Nothobranchius furzeri: one gene and its partners. The protein of the gene in region 1 interacts with the protein of each later gene in a pairwise test. Links are inferred from orthologs where the notes say so. Each region holds a gene or a part of one and is shown in the gene's direction. Other genes may lie near its edges.

Region 1 (6,566 bases):
GTAGGAAACTCCGTATCCTTTGCAGCAGGGCAGTTAGCCGGGATGTCGGCAGCAGGAGGCATGGGTGTCGGGAAAGCGGTAGGAGCCGTAGTGGCTGCAGCTTCTGGAAAAACAGCCGTGGCCCTTGGTGCAGCAACGGGTGGAGTTTTAGGTGGTTCTGTGGGAGCTGTTGCTGGTGCTGAGGCTGCTAGTCCTCAGGAGGGCGCTTTAGATGCCCTGGGCCAGGTTGGTGCCATAGGTGGGTCTGCTGTGGGAGTGGCAGCATGTGTGGGCTGTGCCCTGGGAGCTGGTGCTGCTTTTAGCTCAGCAGCTCTCCTCGCAGCAGAACCTGTAGCTCAGGGGACTTTAGCTTTAGCAGCACCGCAGCACGCCGTGGCCTCGGCTGCTGCAGGAGCTGGACCTCCTCAGTGTGCTGCAGCTTTAGCTCAGGCGGTGGCTACGCATGCCCCAGTGGTGGCTGGATCAACAGGGGCTGTTTGTGATCCATCAGGGCCTGTGGTGTCCTCGTTGACCCGGGGGGCTGTTTCAGACCACTGGGGCACCGTGGCAGTAACTACTCGTATCTTGAGCGCTGTGGCTGAGATTGGGAAAGCTGCAGCAGGCATTGCTCTGGCGGGTGGTCTGGTAGTGAAGGTGGTGAAGGAGAAAGTGAGATCTGGAACAGGTGCGACGGAAGCCAGCTACTCGGAAAAGAAGTCCTGTGAGATTTATTGGAACAGATAAAAGTTAAAGGCCATATGTGTCCTTTAACAGCTTTTCTGTTGAAATATTCAAATAAAGACATCCACATAATCTGATGCGCTGTAAACCCGACCAGGTCAAACATCACATTAAAAGTGTTTGAAGCTGTTCATGGCTGCTGTGGCATTTAATCTTAAGTATTTTGTTTTTAGGGAGGAGATAACCACAGATGTCTTCTAAATTCACTGTTGAATTAAATCTCATGCTAAAGGTTGTCACATGGGTTTGGAGGGAAGCATTTAGTCACAATTCAAACAAAAAAAGGGTAAAATGATGATAATAAAGATGTGGTTAACAGTGTTGGGAGTAACGCGGTGCAAATGTAATTAATTACTGTAACGCATTGCTTTTTGCTGTAATGTGGTAATAAGGCATTACAGGGAAAGAAAATGGTCATATTTACTCGGTACAATTGTCAGAAACACAGTAATTACAATGCATTTTTAAATCCAGAAGCAAGTTGTGGGTTTCTTCAAAATTCAAATTGCGGGAAGGCCAGGAAAGATCCAGTATCTACATATATGACGTCATTTATGGACTCAGAGTTGCGGGCATCCTATGAGCAGAGAGGACGCAGCGGTAATGGCTCCTGCATTCACAAAATGGCTCCACCAAAACAAAATAATTAATTTGCGATCGTTCATATCAGCCCATATTCTCTGGTGCTTTCTGTACTTTTCTGACGTGCTTTGCCTCAGCTGAGTTCATAATCTGCGCCCCGGTGATTTGAACTCATTGCTGCTGGAGCGCAGCACATATTAAAGAGCAAGTCACCCCCAAATCAACTTTTTTTTCTGATAAACTACATAAATGTGTGTCTAATCGTGCTGCAGACACGTGTAGTCAATAGTTTTGCACTTTAGTGCATTTTAGTTAAAATTTAAATTTTCTGCCTAAAACTGTCAGTGTTGTGCCGTTGTCAGGTAAAAACTCTGCACTGCATTTGAATTTAAATCTGCCATCGCTATTGGCTAAGAGGTACCCTAGAACGTTAGCTGGTACCATATGATGTCACAATGTCGTTGTGAGCCTGTGTGTGTGTGTGTGTTAGCGACTCTGCTCTCTCGGTCTGCTAGGCAACAGCATTTGTTGCATTTTTCAAACAGGAAGTGGGAGTGGGGTAATACTCTGATAGGGGGTGACTTGCTCTTTAAAGAGGGCCGAATTCGTCAACCGCATTTGAAGGAGTCTTCGAATTGGGACAGGCCTGGTCGCGGCACTGTGAGGTAAACGGCCGACGAAGGATGCAGACCCTGAATTGAGACACAGGCTCACGACAGCATTGTGACATCATAATGTACCAGTTTACATCATAGCATACCTCTTAGCCAATAGCTGTGGCAGATTTAAATTAAAATACAGTGCAGAGTTTTTACCTGACAACGGCACAACACTGCCAGTTTTAGGCAGAACATTTAAATTTTAACTAAGGTGCACTGAAGTGCCAAATTATTGACTACACGTGTCTGCAGCACGATTAGACGCTCATTTATTTAGTTTATCAGCAAAAAAAAGTTTTTTTGGGGGTGACTTGCTCTTTAAGCTTTTTTTGCATTCGGTAGATCCCTTGGCTGATTAGGTAGAAAGTAGGAAACTGATTTTCTGGAAGACGGAGAAAAGATGCAGCATGCAGGAAGGTTAGAGAGAGAGAGGGCCAGAAATCATTCAAATAAAATCAAGAAAATAAAAAAAAGTGCTTGAAAAGAAAAAAAAAGTAAGTAGATTTATCCCCAATACACATTTTTACCACTCCATCCATCCATCCATTTTCATCTGCTTATCCGGAGTCACGTCGCAGGGGCGGTAGCCTAAGTCGAGAGGCCCAGACTTCCCTCTCCCCATCCACTTGGGCCAGCTCTTCCGGGGGAATCCCAAGGCGTTCCCTGGCCAGGCAAGAGACATAGTCCCTCCAACGTGTCCTGGGTCTCCCTTTAGGTCTCCTCCCGGTTGGACGTGCCCAGAAAACCTCACCAGGGAGGCGTCCAGGAGGCATCCTGACCAGATGCCTGAGCCACCTCAACTGGCTCGTCTCGATGTGGAGGAGCAGCGGGTCTGCTCCAAGCCCTTCCCGGATGGCCGAGCTTTTCACCCTATCTCTAAGGGAGAGCCCAGCCATTCTGTGGAGAAAACTCATTTCGGCTGCTTGTATCCGCGATCTCGTTCTTTTGGTCACTACCCAAACCTCATGACGATAGGTGAGGGTAGGAACGTAGATCGACCGGTAAATCGAAAGCTTTGCCTTGACTCAGCTCTCTCTCCACCACGACAGACCGGTAAAACGCCCGCATCACTCCAGATGCAGCACCAATCTGCCTATCGATCTCACGCTCCAGTTTTCCCTCATTCATGAACTCCTCCACTTGGGGCAGGACCTCATCCCTGACCCGGAGAAGGCGTTCTACCCTTTTCCGAATCAAGACCATGGTCTCAGCTTTAGAGGAGCTGGTTCTTATCCCAGCTGCTTCACACTCTGCTGTGAGCCGCTCTAGCGAAAGCTGAAGATCACGTTCTGATGAAGCCAACAGGACCACATCATCTGCAAATCATCTGATCCTCAGGCGACCAGAACGGATCCCCTCCATACCTTGGTTGCACCTAGAAATCCTGTCCATAAAGGTTATGAACAGAATCGGTGACAAACGAAAGCCTTGGCGGAGTCTAAATGATAAATGACCCGCACTTCTATAGTGCCTCTCAGAGTAAGGACTCCAAAGTGCTTTACACTACAGTGTATCATTCATACATTCACACACTGATAGTGATGAGCTACAATGTAGCCACAGCTGCCCTGGGGCACACTGACAGAGGTGAGGCTGCCGAGCACAAGTGCCACCAGTCCCTCCGACCACCACCAGCAGGCAAGGTGGGTTAAGTGTCTTGCCCAAGGACACAACAGCAGAATTCTCTGTGCGGAGCCGGGATCGAACCTGCAACCTTCCGATTACTGGACAACCTGTTGAGCTACTGCTGCCCACTGGGAACGAGCCCGACTTACTGCCGGCAATGCGGACCAAGCTCTTGACACCGGTCATACAGGGACCTAACAGCCCGTATCAGAGGACCCGGTACTCCATACTGCTGGTGTACCCCCCAAAGGGCCCCCCGAGGGACACGTTCAAATGCCTTCTCCAAATCCACAAAACACATGTAGACTGGTTGGGCAAATTCCCACGCACCCTCCAGGATCTCCCTAAGGGTATAGAGCTGGCCCAGTGTTCCACGGCCAGGACGAAAACCACATTGCTCCTCCTGAATCTGAGGTTCAACAATCCGACGGACCCTCCTCTCCAGAAACCCTGAATAGACCTTACCAGGAAGGCTCAGGAGTGTGATCCCCCTGTAGATGGAACACACCCTGCGGTCCCCCCTTTTAAATAAGGGGACCACCACCCCAGTCTGCCATTCCAGTGTGCCTACCCCAATGTGTACGTGATATTGCAGAGCCGCGTCAGCCACCACAGCCCCACAACATCCAGAGCCTTAAGGAACTCCGGGCAGATCTCATCCACCCCTGGAGCCTTGCCACAGAGGAGCTTTTTAACCACCTCAGTGACCTCAGCACCAGAGACTTGAGAGGCCAACCCAAAGTCCCCAGACTCTGCTTCCTCACTGGAAGACGTGTTGGTGGGATTGAGGAGGTCTTCGAAGTACTCTGCTCACCGATCCACAACGTCCTGAGTAGAGGTCAGCAGCACACCATCCCCACTATAGATAGTGTTGGTAGCGCACTGCTTTCCCCCCCTGAGGCTCTGGATGGTGGACCAAAATCTCCTCGAAGCCATGTGGAAGTCTTGCTCCATGATCTCACCGAACTCCTCCCATGCCCAGGTTTTTGCCTTGGCGACCACCCGAGCCACGTTCCGCTTGGACTGCCGGTACCTGTCAGCTGCCTCTGGAGTCCCACAGGCCAAAAAGACCTGATAGGACTCTTTCTTGCTTGACAGCATCCCTGGGTTCAGGGGTTGCCAGAACGACAGACACCGACGATCCTGCGACCACAGCTCCGGTCGGCCGCCTCAACAATGGAGGCACGGAACAGGGTCCATTCAGACTCAATGTCCCCCGCCTTCCCCGGAACATTTTGGAAGTTCTGTCAAGAGGTGGGAATTGAAGCTCCTTCTGACAGGAGACTCTGCCAGACGTTCCCAGCAGACTCTTGAGATACGTTTGGGCCTGCCTGGTCTGACCGGCATCCTCCCCCACCATCTGAGCCAACTCACCACCAGGTAGTGGTCAGTTGACAACTCCGCCCCCTCTTCACCCGAGTGTCCAAGACATGCGGCCGCAGGTCAGATGAAACAACAACAAAGTCGATCATCGAGCTGCGGCCTAAGGTATCCTGGTGCCAAGAGCACATATGGACACCTTTATGTCTGAACATGGTGTTCTTATTGACACTCCATGACTGGCACAGAAGTCCAATAACAAAACACCACTCGAATTCAGATCGGGGGGGCCGTTCCTCCCAACCACACCTCTCCAGGTCTGTCGTTGCCTACGTGAGCATTAAAGTCCCCCAGCAGAACGAGGGAGTCACCGGAAGGAGCGCTTTCCAGCACCCCCTCCAAGGTCTCCAAAAAGGGTGAGTAGTCTGAACTGTAGTTTGGTGCGTAAGCACAGACCACAGTCAGAACCCGTCCCCCCACACGTAGGCGGAGGGTGGCTACCCTCTCATTCACTGGGGTAAACCCCAACATACAGGCACCAAGATGGGGGGCAACCAGTATGCCCACCCTTGCTCGGCGCCTCTCAGTGGGAGCAACTCCATAGTGGTACAAAGTCCAACCCCTCTCAAGGAAACTGGTTCCAGAGCCATGCGTTGAAGTGAGTCCAACCATATCTAGTCAGAACCTCTCAACCTCAGGCTCCTTTCCCACCAGAGAGGTGTCATTCCATGTGCCAAGAGCCAGCTTCTGTAGCCGAGGATCAGACCGCCAAGGTCCCCGCCCTCGACTACCACCCGTCACACACTGCACCCGACCCCTTTGGCCCCTCCCACGAGTGGTGAGTCCATGGGAAGGGGGACTTATGTTTCCTCTTCGGGCTGTGCCCAGCCAGGCTCCATGGGTGAAAGCCCGGCCACCAGGCGCTCGCCAACGTGCCCCACCTCCAGGCCTGGCTCTAGAGGGGGGCCTCGATGACCCACGTCCGGGCGAGGGAACACGGTTTCCATTTATATAATTCATCATAAGAGGTCTTTGGGCTGCTCTTTGTCTGATCCCTCACCTAGGACCTGTTTGCCATGGGTGACCCTACCACAGGCAGAAAGCCTCAGACAACTTGGCTCCTAGGATCATTGAGACACTCAAACCCCTCCACCACGGTAAGGTGGCAGCCCAGGGAGAGGAAAACTTAAATTTTAACTAAAATGCACTAAAGTGCTAAACTATTGACTACACGTGTCTGCAGCACGATTAAACATGCATTTATATCGTTTATCAGAAAAAAAATGTTGATTTGGGGGTGACTTGCTTTTTAACCAGCACAATAACATGAGTTGTTTTTCTTGAATGATGTGCTAACATGATGAGCTTTATTGCTGCAAAAATTTAGAAAATGGGCAAAAAGGCTGAAGAATTGAAAGTGTTTTAAATGCTAATGGCTAGCTTTGAGTGTACTGTTTCAAATCCTGTAAAATGTGTTCATTTAACATCTTACAAGAACAAGCGTGTTATTTTTGCTCTTAAAATTGCCGTAAAGCTTTAAAATCTAATTCCATGTTTGCTTTTATCGAGTGTTATATGTTTCGATGATAAAACGCTTGTTTTATTTTAAAAAAATGATAATACGTATTTGTAGTTTTGTTTTTGCTGCAATAAATTAAA
Region 2 (6,677 bases), on another chromosome or scaffold:
GCTCTAGTGCAGGGGTGTCAAACTCATTTTAGCTCAGGGGCCACATTGCGAGAAATCTAGTTCCAAGTGGGCCGGACCGGTAAATTAAAAACAACTTCAGATTGTTTTCTTTGTTTTAATACAACCAATATAAAACAAGGCTGGAGCCAGAGGACAATGTATCCAAAACGGTACAAGTACAACACCTGAAGTGTACTTGAAAATTTGAAAAAAATAAAAAAAATCAATCAATAAAAAATACATTCCTTAGTGATTAAAAGAGCTTACAGATCACATGGCTAGATCAGTTTCGTGCAGCACTTAAAATATATTTGACTCATTTTACTTTACATCTTTTAGCTTTCACCAGCACATCAATATCAGAAGTCACATCCTGAGTGGCATGCCAACTTCAGGATGTGATTCAAGTTCTTGTGTGAGCCTTGAGCGCAGCTTTGTTTTATTTATACTCATTACAGAGAAAACTTGCTCACAAAGATAAGTTTATTTTCACTCTACATTGTAAAGTATGAAAATAAAGTTTACACAATCATCTCGCGGGCCGGATTTAACCCGCTTGCGGGCCGGATCCGGCCCGCGGGCCGCATATTTGACATCCCTGCTCTAGAGTCTAGACTATCATAAGGAGGGTCCAGGCTGTGGCCAGCTGCTGCTACAGAGGCACTGTTGTAAGAAAACACTCCAAACATTGTCTTTCAGTTTTTCAGCGTTTATTATCTACAATGGCAATCACTTTGTATACACCTTTCCAATATGTCTCAGAGTATGACTTTTTTGCACAAAATGTGTTATCTGGGTTATTATTTTGGTATAACAACAAGAAAATATTTGTATAAGCATCTACTATACCAGATAAATGCTTTGACATGCTTTTGTTCAAATAAGCAGAACTTAATGTTAAGGCTCTGCGGCACGAGGTCCATGATTGCTGTCAGGGTGGCACTGGCACACCTTGGACACCTTCCACTAGCACTGCCCCGGTTATATCCTGTTTATTTGATATTTCCTGATTTTAGCACATTTTTTGTGCTAACTTTTTACCCAACAGCATTTCTTTAGAGTACTTGTGAAGTGATAACATAGATAAATCCTGTGATAAGCATAGAAACCAGAAGGCACTTAATTGTTCTACATAACAGGATTAAACATAGCAATTTGAACACAATATTGAACCTGACTAAATCAATCAAATTCAATTGTGTGTGTGTGTGTGTGTGTGTGTGTGTGTGTGTGTAAACAGACAGGCCAGGGTGGTATGGATGTATGGACTCCACCCTCTGACATGTTTATACATGGACACATGTGCTATTTCAATGACAGCCCCTAGCAGAGATAAAAGCCCTCCCAGTCCAACCATCTTCCACTCCCAGCCCAGCATAGTAGCCAGTGTGGTGAGTGTTATGAGGGTTCTTCTCCACCCTTTCTGACTCCTCCCGCCACATTACTGTTTACCGACTCACAAAGCCACAAGGGAGTGGCCAACGGCCACGGAGGCAAGACTCAAGCACTCGTTCAGCCCTCCTTACTTCCCACCTCTGTGGCCAGAGACATTAACAACGTTTGGCGTTGTTTCACTGTTGAAATTTGACTCCACTTCAAGACGGGGCTAAGCGAATTATCAGTATTTACGTGGACTAAACTATAGTGACGTCGTTTTAGCGGAAAACAAATAACCCGACGTCAATCATGCTCAAGAGCACAACCTACCGTGCTTAATCCCGCCCACCCCTCCAACTATGGTGAAATTAGATTAGTCAACTGGTGCTCTTTAGGCGAGACAAACAATTCTATTGGACAATGGATTATTCCATCACCCGTATTGCTGATTGAGGAGCGCTTGTTTTTTTTTCGGCACAGTACGGTACGCGTACTACCAAACGAAAAAGAAAAAAAAAATCTTAAATATTCCGAGTTTAAATCGGTTTGAATTGAATTATTTACAGCATGTGTGGCGGTACTCACTCTACCGTTTCATTTCTGCCTTGTAACTTGTACATGTCTATGATAAGTTCAGGAGTCGGTTTTACTTTGATTTAAGCGCCAAGAAAACCCAGCATTCTTTCAAAATGTCATCTACTGGCTCACTTAAGTTTCACAAATTATATTTTTATAATCTCTAGTTAAAAAGTAGTCTAACTTGAAATAGGTTTGAGAAGTTCATTGCACCATCTCGAATCTAGTTTACATAAATCGAACGCACTCATACGCCTACTTCAAAGGGAGGGGGAACTTAAGTTTGTGTGAAGTTGTGAAAAGTTGTCAAGCTGAAAAAAGAGCAGAAACTCCTCCCGTCTTCTAATTATGAGCAGTAAGTGGACTTTTAAAACTTGGAGGCATACTACGTGCGTACTTATAACTCAAGGGTATGACGTAGCAACATCGTGTTATTTGTATTAAGTGGTGGATTTTGCGCTGCATTGTTGTCTAGTCTGAAGCAGTTTTAAAGTGACGTTAGTTTATTGTTACTTAACGCTACTTGTTAGTGGTTCTTTAGAAAACGACGCTGTCCCCTCTTTAGAATTGTAGGTTATGGTATTCCTCAAACAAAAAATAGCGGTAATGTTTTATCAGAACGGTGGAAACTGCGTTGGTGCACTTAATTAATGCTTAACTAGTTTATTGTTTATTACTTGTGCTGAGTTCACGTTAGCTCACAAGCTAACTGGCCTTGTGAGGGCTTGAAATGTTTTCCAACCCGAATCTTCCACAAAGCATTCTTAAGTTGACTTGTTGTGAAACATGTAGTCGTTTTTCTTTGTTTGATTTTTGTTTTCGTGTATAACTGATCTATTATGTTCCAAGAAGTCTTACAAGTGTTCTTCCGCAGATCAGCAGCAGCAGGGTGAAATGGCCGCTGTGGAGAGCGGCGGAGGATTCAGCCAGAAGCGAAACACAAACTCACAAGTAAGTTAACCACTTAGCGACATTTCGTTCTCATCGTGTGTGCCACTTGTTGAATTTGTTGTGTTCGTCTGTGCGTGTGTGTCTGGACCTGAGCGGGTTGTTGATTTTCTCACCAGAGCACATGTCATCGGGGTGGGAACTGGGCAGGTAAATTTCGCCCACACGGGGTGTTCCCATCTAACCCGGGCACTTCTTGTATGTTTCGCTCGGCCCATTTGGCTCTCCTTGGAGGGGGTGGCTAGTGAAGTGTGCTAGTTTATAGGGCGAAAATCAAGTGTGGGAGGGAGATGGGTGGGCTTGGGGGGAGGGGAAGCCGAGCCCGCCGCTGCTCCGGAAAATGTGGTCCCTCCCTCCCATGTCCCCTCACCCAATGCGTTTTCTCTGTGAAGCCCACTCCCCTACAAGCGCTTCAATGAAACTCGCTAGACTTAAACGCAGTGATATTATGGTTTTCACTAAACAAGCTAGATTTCTTTTAGAATAAGGAACCTAATTTGTTTTAACTTGAAACATCATGCCTTTCTTCCTATTTTTTAACAGGTCCAATATACAATATGCTAGAACATGTGATCCCCTTGCACGGTTTAAGATATAATTTATGTTCCACTTTATTTGTGTTGCTGTAAACATCTTGTTTATAATAATTAGGGTTGCTTTTATTGTTCTCCAGTTTGAATATGCGTGGACAAAAGAGTTCATGGGGCTTTGGGGGATGTGATTTTACATGAGTAGTTTTATTCATTCATTTATAAAGCACCTTCATGCTGCCAATCAAGGCAAAACACAAAATTGCATGACGCACATAAAAAGGTAAAAGTAGAGAATGGAAAAGTAAGTAAATCAAATACAAACATAAAACCAGTACAAAGGAAACCTAAAATTTAAAGCACACTAAACGGTAATAATATACAGTTACAAAAATAAGCCACTAACAGACGGAAAATGAAAAGTGATACAAAAACCATCCAGCTTTGAAGCATTACAAGGAGGGAACATGTTTAATCTCCAGAGTTCAAAAGTCTATAGAAAAAAAAACAAGAGAAGGCATGGTCACCCCCCAGTCTAAATCCTCGAGACTACTAAGAGACTGGGATCGGCTGAGCGACGAGATCTTGGCAGAACATGTTTAGAAAGCAAGGCTGATGTGTATGCTGGAGCCATCCCAGCAAAGGCCAAACATTGTAGAAAAAGCTAAAGAGTATCACAGTAACTGTCAAAATTGGTTTGAAATATGAAATTCATCCATTTTGTTCAGGAAAGTCTGCTAAAAACTTGTGCAGCAACAAATGTTCACATCAGAATTTCTGGCACTCAATTGTCTCTATAGATGTAAGATAGCATGCTCTGTTATTATTGTCTGTTTACATTTTCCTGTTTGATCTTCATTTATACTGATTATAGGACTCACAGCAGCCGTCTCCTTTGGCCTTGCTGGCAGCCACGTGCAGTCGAATCGACACCCCCGGAGAAAACGATTCTACCGCAGACCAACAGCTGGAAATAAACCCGGGTGTCTTCACCTCCAGTGCCAACGGCTGGCAGGTCGTTCCTCTAAGCGTTCAGGCATCCTCCGGCTCTAACACAATCACCACTGATTCCTCAGGGGTGATGACAGGAGACAATGGCAAAAGCAGACAGGTGCTGTCACCATCAAGTACTCAGGGTCAGCAGCCACAGCAGTATGTAGTAGCTCAGGCCCCATCTGTGCCAGGTCAGCAGGTTCTAACCACCATATCAGGTGTGATGCCCAATATACAGTACCAAGTAATACCCCAATTTCAGACAGTAGATGGCCAACCGCTGCACTTTGCACATGCTCAACAGGAACCTGCTGCAGCAGGACAAGGACAACAGTTTCAGATAGTGTCCTCTCCAAATGGCCAGCAGATTATTGCTGCATCCAATAGAGCTGGTGCAGCTGGAAACATCATAACCATGCCCAGTGTCCTTCAGGGAGCCATCCCCATTCAGAACATCTTAGGCAATGGTGTTTTACAAAATCAGCCCCAGTTTCTGGCAAACATGCCAGTATCCTTGAATGGAAACATCACTTTGGTGCCTGTCAGTACAGGTTCTACTGGAGGGGATGCAAATGGTAGTGGAGAAACGGGTGGGAACCAGCACGTACAGCAATCTCCACAGCCAGCATCTTCTAATAGTGGGACCAGTTACATGACCAGCGAATCCACCATCACCACTCAAACCTCTTCTTATGGAATTGCCACACAGAAGAGTAACGGATCAGGGAGCAGAACGTTCCAGCAAAACCCAGCCTCCTCTCTTGGTGTCCCAATTCAGCCAGACAACAGAGCAGAGCAGCAGCCTCAACAAATCCTCATTCAGTCTCCTCAGGTTATTCAAAGTGGAGCACCTCTTCAGACCATACAAGCCAGTACCGTTGCAAGTGCAGGTGGTCAGGTGTTTGCAGCTCCAACACTCAGCCAAGAGGGGCTTCAAAATCTTCAGATTATGCCAAACACAGGGCCTATCCTCCTGCGCACTGTAGGCCCTAATGGCCAGGTTAGCTGGCAGACCCTTCACATCCAGAGTCCAGCAGGTGCACAGATAACACTAGCCCCAGTGCAGTCTCTGCCCCAGCTCGGGCAGACTCAAGGAGCTACCGGAGCTGGAACGGTACCGGTGCAGATCCCAAATCTTCAGACCATAAATCTCAACTCACTTGGAAGCACAGGGCTGCAGATGCATCCTCTGCAGGGAATCCCCATCAACATCACAGGTGCATCAGGTTAGACCAGCTTGTTTATAAGTTTCTCATTATGTGTCTCAATATGCTTTATAATAACCTCCAGTCAACAGTAGGACCATGCTTTCTATAACTCCTGAGTTATGGAAAACAAATTTGTGTCATTTCTATTTAATTAGCCCACATTTTATCATGACTGTTTACGAACCATTTATTTCCTAAATATGATAAAATTTAGATGCAAAAAGAGAAAAAGTACATGCAAACAACAACAATGTCTCAGGATTAGTATCTTTAAAATGAGGTTTCGATGTTTGGTATCGCTTCACTTTGCATGCAAGTTAAATTCTGGTTAAACCAGTTCTACTATCTGAGTTTTCCCTGAGCCTTAAACTGTAAACAAGCTGTTTGTGTTCGATTTCTTCATCTGATAGTTAAATTACACTGAAGGCAGTTTGGCATAGTTACTGTATTACACAGGGTATCCGCGGGTCCTTAAAAAGTCTTAAATTGACTTTTCCAAATTTAAGGCTTTGAAAATCCTTAAAAATGACAAATAATCCTTAAATACAGTTTCCAAAGGTCTTAAATTACCAAAGACCCAATAAACTAGACTGTTTTATTTCTATGACATTTTTGTGAATTTCTAGTTAGTGTTCAGCATTTTTTGTGTACGATGTTGGTGTAAGCGGAACCGCACATATTCAGTTGGTTGTGAAAGGGAGCTATTTTTAGATGAGCACATTCGCTGGTTAAGCTAGTGGGAGCTTACGCCATGGAGAAGTGCAAGTTTAATGGTAACTGGATGGCTAATCCCACGTTCGTGGCGTGGTTAGGAAATTATAGCAGAAATTACATTTTAAAAAATAGCTTAAATTTGGTCAAAGTGGCCTTAAAAAAGGTCTTAAAAAGTCTTAAATTTGACTCACTTCAACCTGCAGTTACCCTGATTACAGCACAGGACCATTCCCCTCTTCTCTCAACCCTGTTTGTGTTTGTTGCTCCTAAATTGAGCAAATTCCAACAATTGTGAGAAATCAATTATGGAATATCTGATTCACCTTTCAGT
Region 3 (6,522 bases), on another chromosome or scaffold:
CCCGATTGCTGTGAGACCGGGTTGGGGGGTGGGGGGTGCAGCTGTGGTTGGGACAATTATTACATTAACTGATGGACTTGTAAATAAATAGTTTATAAATAAGGTAGAAATAAGTTCCTCACGCTGATAAATGATAACTAATCTCTCTGAGGACACGGTGCTAGTGCACTCTTCTACAGCACCTTGACACGACTCAATAAATGTTACGCAACATTTTGTGAACATCAATTTATTTGCATGTATTTGTTATAAATGCCACTGTATAATTCTTGCTGTCAGTATTTGCAAGATATTGGTATTTGGGTCTGTACTGGTTAGACTTAAATGAGTTAAACCAAGGTCTATAGCCCTTGGGTCATAAACTATGAGCTGTAAGTATATTGGGCTTTTTATACTGGGAATCAGGAGTTATTTTAGTGATCATCTTGTTTCTTGTTTACTTTTGCCCTGATTGTGCCCTGAGCAATTTTATGACTGAATAAAAACAAATAAAATCAACATAAATTGAAAAATCGTCCTAAATAATCGTGATCTCAATTTCAGTCACCATAATCGTGATTATTATTTTTGCCATAATCGAGCAGCCCTACTGTCACATGTGTTACATACATTTTTACGTGACACTTTGCCAACCTACACATATTTTCATTTTTTTATTATCAAATTTATTGACATGGGAAAAATGATCACGATAAGAGTCAGAGATTTCGATAACGATAAATTTTCGATTTATTGCCCAGCGAGTGATACGTATTGTATCGCCAGAGTTTCACCAAAACTCATCCCTACTGTAAACCCTAGAGATGGTTGTGCAAGACAGTCCCAGAAGATCAGCAGTTTCTGAAATACTCAGACCAGCCCGTCTGGCACCCACAACCATGACACGTTCAAAGTCAAATTAAATCGCCTTTCATCCCCATTCTGAAGCTCAGTTTGAACTGCAGCGGATCGTGTCAACATGCCGAAATGCATTGAGTTGCCACCATGTCATTGGCTGATTTAGTAATTTGCGTAATCGAGCACTTGGACAGGTGTATTCATTAAAGTGGCCCGTGAGCGCGTGTACATACCGGTCACATAAACATGGTGAGTTGGAGGACAGTCTGTAAAGCAAAAAAATCTGTATGAAAGTTTAATTATGAATTGTTTTTATTCTAAAGTCGTTGTCTTGTGTGTTTTTAGGTGGAACACCTTTTTATCCCGAAAGACTTCCAGAACTCATGAACTCACCCGACTACCGGAATCCTGATATGTTTTTTGACCCTCACCCCGCTGCGCCTCCCCCTCTTATGGAGCAACAGAGCAGGATGCAGAGGGACCCTCGCTACTCCAACAATCTGGACAAAATCACCTGCGCTCTCCTGGAGCTTGTGGCAAGAAAATAGTCACTCCCAAGATGGTTATAAAATAAAATTAGATTTTGTTTGTGTAAGTAGTTTCAGGTTGCATGTGAAGTTGAATGGTTTGGTTTATTTTAGGGAATTTGCCTTAGTAAAGTTCAGTTTTTGACCCGTCAAGATCTGTGATGTAATTGTCTTGTCTGTAGTAATCTGTTTATTTTAGTTTCTCATTTGTATCAGTGTAAGCATAACCATCAACATTTGTACACAGTTTCATTTTATGTGATATGAACGTGTTAATTTACAAAACTAAAATTCGTAATGTGAATGTGGCTCTTTTTATATACAGAACACACCAAGAACTAAAAGATGGAATTAGAATTTCAACACAACAAGAACACACCAAAGATGTTTAAAGAACACACCAAGGTTGACGTCTGTTTATGCACTTTTTAAATAGCACAAAAATTACCTTACGGTCAGAATCCAAGTTTGAATCCTCTGTTTTTTTCCAGGAATTTTCCAGACAAAATAGTATTTTATCAAGCCAACTTTTGCAAAACTTTATATTTTTTGTGAGGTAAAAATTATTTGCATGAGTGACAGGCTTAATATGTGTTTACATAAATACAATATATCCATTTGAATGTTATTTCGTAGGTTCAATATGTCTTATTTGTTCAGACGTAGGTTCTGTGAAAACGTAGCTCGCACTACGTCATCGCGTTAATCTTTCCGGTTCGAGTCAAGCAGCCATCTTGTTTCCCTAGCTTGTTAAACAAAATAAATAATACGCTGAGCCGGACTTCAGCTCGAACCCGAAAAAGAAAGTGAGTAAAAAACTTAAATTCTCTCATACCTATGTTCTTTACATAAAACAGGCCTGAGGGAGTGGCAGTCGGGGCAATTATTTGGCCTGTTTTCATTTGCTGTTCTTGACCAATAGACGATTGTTTTGGGAGATGAACATCGGCGCCATTTCCCTCCCCGCACTCAGGCGCTTATTGGTGGCCCGCCGAAGAGATCCCGGGCGGTTTGGAAACTGGAGGTCTGTGTCCGCCATTTTGGATCTCATTAAAACGGCTGTCAAACGCAGTGGCTATTTCCATTGGATCCCGAATGGCGTCGATTGCAGAACGAACTTAGCCTTAAAAACCTTGATTGGTGGAATCTAGTCCGAGGTTTGATTGGTCTGAAGGACAGATCCAAACGTTGTCTTTATTGGTTAGGGTGTTTCTTTCGAGCTTTGCAAACTTTACGATGGCAAGACTCGTCAGTGTGTGATTTAATTTCACTCCGCGGAATGTCAGCCGAGCAGTGCAACAGTCACCATTCTCCACCAAGCTAGCATAAAGTTCACTTTGTCACAGTCGGCACTCCCTATCCTAACGTTAAACTAGTAGTGGAAATCTTTTGTGTACGGCTGTTTTGTGTGTCTAAGCACGAAAATGTGTTCAATTAGTCTCTCCAACTCAAGAAAATACAAGCTAGTTGTGCCTGCTAGCCCAAGATTTAGCATCATTTTTTTCACTTTATCACGATGGCCGCTTTATTCAAATAAACCTCTGTAGAATTCCGTTTCGCAAACTGAGAATGGCCAGAAAATGCGTTATACCTGCTGCGATTTTTACCTAATATGTCTGTCGGCTGCGTTAAAAGCGCAGTGTGCCATTTAATCGTAAAAAGTGTAATTGGTTTAATGTCATGATCACAATTGGAAAACAAATAACCAGTTGAGCTGAGTTATGTAATCATCCTGCATGTACTGAACTGTTTTCTGAATATTTGTACGCTTACGAATCAACAAATACACAATATATAGACAATATCAATAACTAAACAACACCCAAAGCAGAAAGGACACAAACCGTTTTGTTTTTTGATTAATCTATTTAAAAAAATCCTATTTTAAGCTTTTACTTTTGTGCATTTTAGTTCCTAATTTGTTTTAATTTTGAATTATAGCTTAACTTTGTACATTTGAAATGAAGTTTGGTTGTTTAATAAAAGTCCATCTGTAATTCCTTATTCTTGGTGTATAAGTTTACTTCTAACTCAGGATTGCAGCTCTTCCCACCCCAGTCTATTATTTCTGTCTCTAAAACATTAATGTTTGTTTAATCCACTAATTGCTTATTTTTCTAATTGACAGAATGCTTAGATTTTGATCAAACATTAATGGAAGCACCTATTGTGCAAATCAGTGAGCTGGGGTTTGCAGGTGGTTATATGTTTACATGTTGAAGGCTTAGCTCGGCCACCCTGAGGGTGCTGTGTGTTTATGAAACCTAACGTCTGATTGGTGTGTGTTTATCTCCAAACAGCATCAGCGAGCACAAACATGGCCATGCTACGGGCGGTATAGGTCATGGGAAGGTTTCATTTGTATGCTGACCTTGCCAAGTGTCATTACTGAGGCTATTTGGGTAGCAAGCGTCCCCTTTAAGAGAAAAATAAATGTCCTGGCCAGTTAGCCGTGATGGAGAGATTAATCTTTGAGAAAACTATCCAATCATTAACCTGATGCTTGCAGCGCCTTTTCTTGTGCCGGTGCTCTGTGCTAAAATAGCAAAAGGAACATTTAGCTTTGTTTCTCTTGAGTTATCTATCTTGTTCCCTAACCCTCCCACCACTTGTTCTACCCCTCCCATCCCATAACAACTCTCCTCTCTGTCCTTCTCCATCCTTCCGGTCTCTCCCCCCCCCCCGGTATTTCATTGAAGGGGCAGGTTTCCTCTGTTTCCTCTTAAGCTTGTTCCATTCCACTCCACTGTAGAGTCACATTCATATGGAGCATTATCTTTAGACTATTATGTCACTTTTTAAACACGTTTCCTGCTTCATGTATGTGTCTCCTAATGAGTTCACATGTGAAACGGATCACAAACTGCTCAAGGTTGTGGTTTGTAAAACATCAGCTGGGCACATGAGCGGTGGCGGCTGGTCTTGGTGATCCGAAGTAAAGGTTTCTGCGATGAAAGGATGTGCCGTGAACAAAAAGGGCATCGAGTTTGTCATTGCTGGTGTGGTTTCCGTTGACGTTTTTATTGTGGAAGTTGCTGCTAGCTTCGTTTTGGGGTCAGGACACCAGCGTCTTTGTGTACAGATTTCCACCCATATCTCTTAAGTCTTGTTTAACCACAAATAGAACAAGAATCATATTCAGCCTTATCCCTCCCCCATCCCAACTAATGTTCCATCAGCTGATTTCTTCCGCAACTGATGGCCTGAAATGATCAGTTTTAGAGATTTATAAATATTTTTTGTTATGGTCCAAGTAAGCAACATAGTTTGCAGAAAATCATCTCCTGTGTCGTAAATTTGTTGAATGTCATTCTGCTATTTTACATCCTAAACAAATAAAAAAGTATTTTGTTTATGTGGACAAATTTTGTCTTTGCTGTATTATCAGTAATATGAATGTCATTACAACAAACGGGCTGCTCAGAGGCAACGTTGTCGCTCCACGCACCTGGAAACACCAGCAAGGATAAACGAGGAAGCAAGGACAAAATGTGCATTTGTGTGGATGTGCATGTGAGACTGTACACGCGTGAGACAGGGTGGCTGGCTGCTAGGTTTTGTACTTTAAATCATGTGGATGCAACATGCAGCATCAGTTCTGGCACTTCTTTCAGCCAATCGGGGCGTTCCTGGTTGCCTGCATCATTGTGCCGTCAGCCCGTAGCTGCCGAGGGGGGCGGGGCAGAGGGAGACATTTAGTTTGACATTGTAAATAAGCAGAGAGCAGTTGTCAGAGAGCAGCCCGTCGGAACCTTTCTCATCCAACCAGCAGCAGGAGAGACGGGAGACCGCTTCAGAACAAACGATGCCAAGGCAAGCCACAGCGATCACGCCCTCGTCGGAGACTTTTCCACAACTTTACTTGCTCCTTTTTCTCTCTCCCATCGCCTCTCTTCTCTCTTTCTCTTTTCTTTTCCCTGACCCCTATCCTGCAGCTCAAGGTAACTTAGAGCAGGAAGTTGACTGTCAGTGAAAGGGGGTTGGGCGGAGGAAAGCAGAGTGGGGGACGTGCCGGAGCGGATTGGTGTACGCGGCGTCCAATAGCACGACAGCCCTTTGTCTTTGCATTGGTCACATCTGCTAGAATGAGGTGGGCGTTGGGTTTGAGGCGGGGTTTGAGTATCATGTAGCATGCTAGATTGATTATGCTTGAATGTTAAAGGGGAAGGAGGCTCGAGATTCTTGTCTCTGTGTCAGGAGTGCCGCGGTAATGTTTGCCTGCTGCCGTGCTCTCTTTCCGAGACTTCTCGCCCCCTTCTACCTACCGGGCCAGGGGTCAGATCAAAGACAAACAGATGGACAATGGTCAAAGTGAGGAAGAGGTGTCACAGAGTACAAAGACAGGAGGAGGAGTAGTGGTCAGCAAGTTAAAGGGGTCTTGGTAAGAAGAGAAATGGTGGAGATGCCCAGGAGGACCTTGGGGACTGTTGAAGGAGACAGGTCAATGTGTAGAAGGAGAGTGGGAGGAAGCAAGGGGGAGGGGTGCTTGCTCTTTACTCTGTCCGGGTTTAGAGCTTTTTTTTTTCTTTTTTTTTTGAGCTGTCCAAGTGGAGCCAGAGTGCCTTTTGTCTGTTGATATGATCAGGGGACTGGAGGAAGTGGAGGAGCATGGGAGAGTTTTCTGTCAGCCTCTGTGCTGGCTCCTGCTGTTCTCAAGGAGACTTGAGCAGGGCTATCTGTTTCCATCTCTCCTGCTGCTCTTCAGCAGGCCACACCGTTCAGCATGAAGGGCACGGGGGGTAAGTCTGTCAGCTAAAACACACACAGCCAGAGCAGACCTGCCAAGTTAACTCGCTTCAAGTTCCCAAATAAATTGTTGATCTCACTTTACTTTAGGAAACGTCTCCATCATTCTGCAGTGAAGAGAGCGTGTGTCCTTTACAGCTGTCCTCAGTCCCCCTCCCTTTTCTGTCCTGCAGTTCTCTCCTCGGTACTTTGTTCCGTCTCATCTGTGCCCTTCATCTGTCGCTTTATTGGAGCATTTATGCTTTTAATCGATAATTTTTGCTTCCAAATCTGTGAAAAGTGGAGCGTTTTGGGAAGACGCTTGTCTCGACTCTGGACTACGCACTTCCTGCTCTCTTGTCGACTGGATGGAAAAGCGTGGTTACAAAAATCTGACTTAAGACGGACCTCGCCGCGGGGCCGTGGGGTTCCG

Evidence for each region.
Region 2: the proteins of srebf2 (region 1) and sp1 interact in binary tests that used the Homo sapiens proteins (3 or more experiments, as listed by UniProt). The link is inferred for Nothobranchius furzeri from reciprocal best matches to the Homo sapiens genes SREBF2 and SP1.
Region 3: the proteins of srebf2 (region 1) and nfyc interact in binary tests that used the Homo sapiens proteins (3 or more experiments, as listed by UniProt). The link is inferred for Nothobranchius furzeri from reciprocal best matches to the Homo sapiens genes SREBF2 and NFYC.

The regions. Positions count from the first base shown.
Region 1 is NC_091752.1:67,063,189-67,069,754, reverse strand, and holds the start of srebf2 (sterol regulatory element-binding protein 2), read left to right. Parts: upstream 1-2,150; 5' UTR 2,151-6,566. Other genes in the region: uncharacterized protein, read left to right, coding at 1-723.
Region 2 is NC_091743.1:62,034,612-62,041,288, forward strand, and holds the start of sp1 (transcription factor Sp1), read left to right. Parts: upstream 1-2,218; 5' UTR 2,219-2,301; coding exon 2,302-2,308; exon of another isoform or gene 2,309-2,363; intron 2,364-2,827; coding exon 2,828-2,904; intron 2,905-4,305; coding exon 4,306-5,650; intron 5,651-6,677. UniProt on the Homo sapiens protein: Transcription factor that can activate or repress transcription in response to physiological and pathological stimuli.
Region 3 is NC_091759.1:20,570,514-20,577,035, reverse strand, and holds the start of nfyc (nuclear transcription factor Y subunit gamma), read left to right. Parts: upstream 1-2,060; 5' UTR 2,061-2,170; intron 2,171-2,313; exon of another isoform or gene 2,314-2,388; intron 2,389-5,054; exon of another isoform or gene 5,055-5,177; intron 5,178-5,260; exon of another isoform or gene 5,261-5,454; intron 5,455-5,919; exon of another isoform or gene 5,920-6,103; intron 6,104-6,522. Other genes in the region: uncharacterized protein si:ch211-13c6.2, read left to right, coding at 1,183-1,385. UniProt on the Homo sapiens protein: Component of the sequence-specific heterotrimeric transcription factor (NF-Y) which specifically recognizes a 5'-CCAAT-3' box motif found in the promoters of its target genes.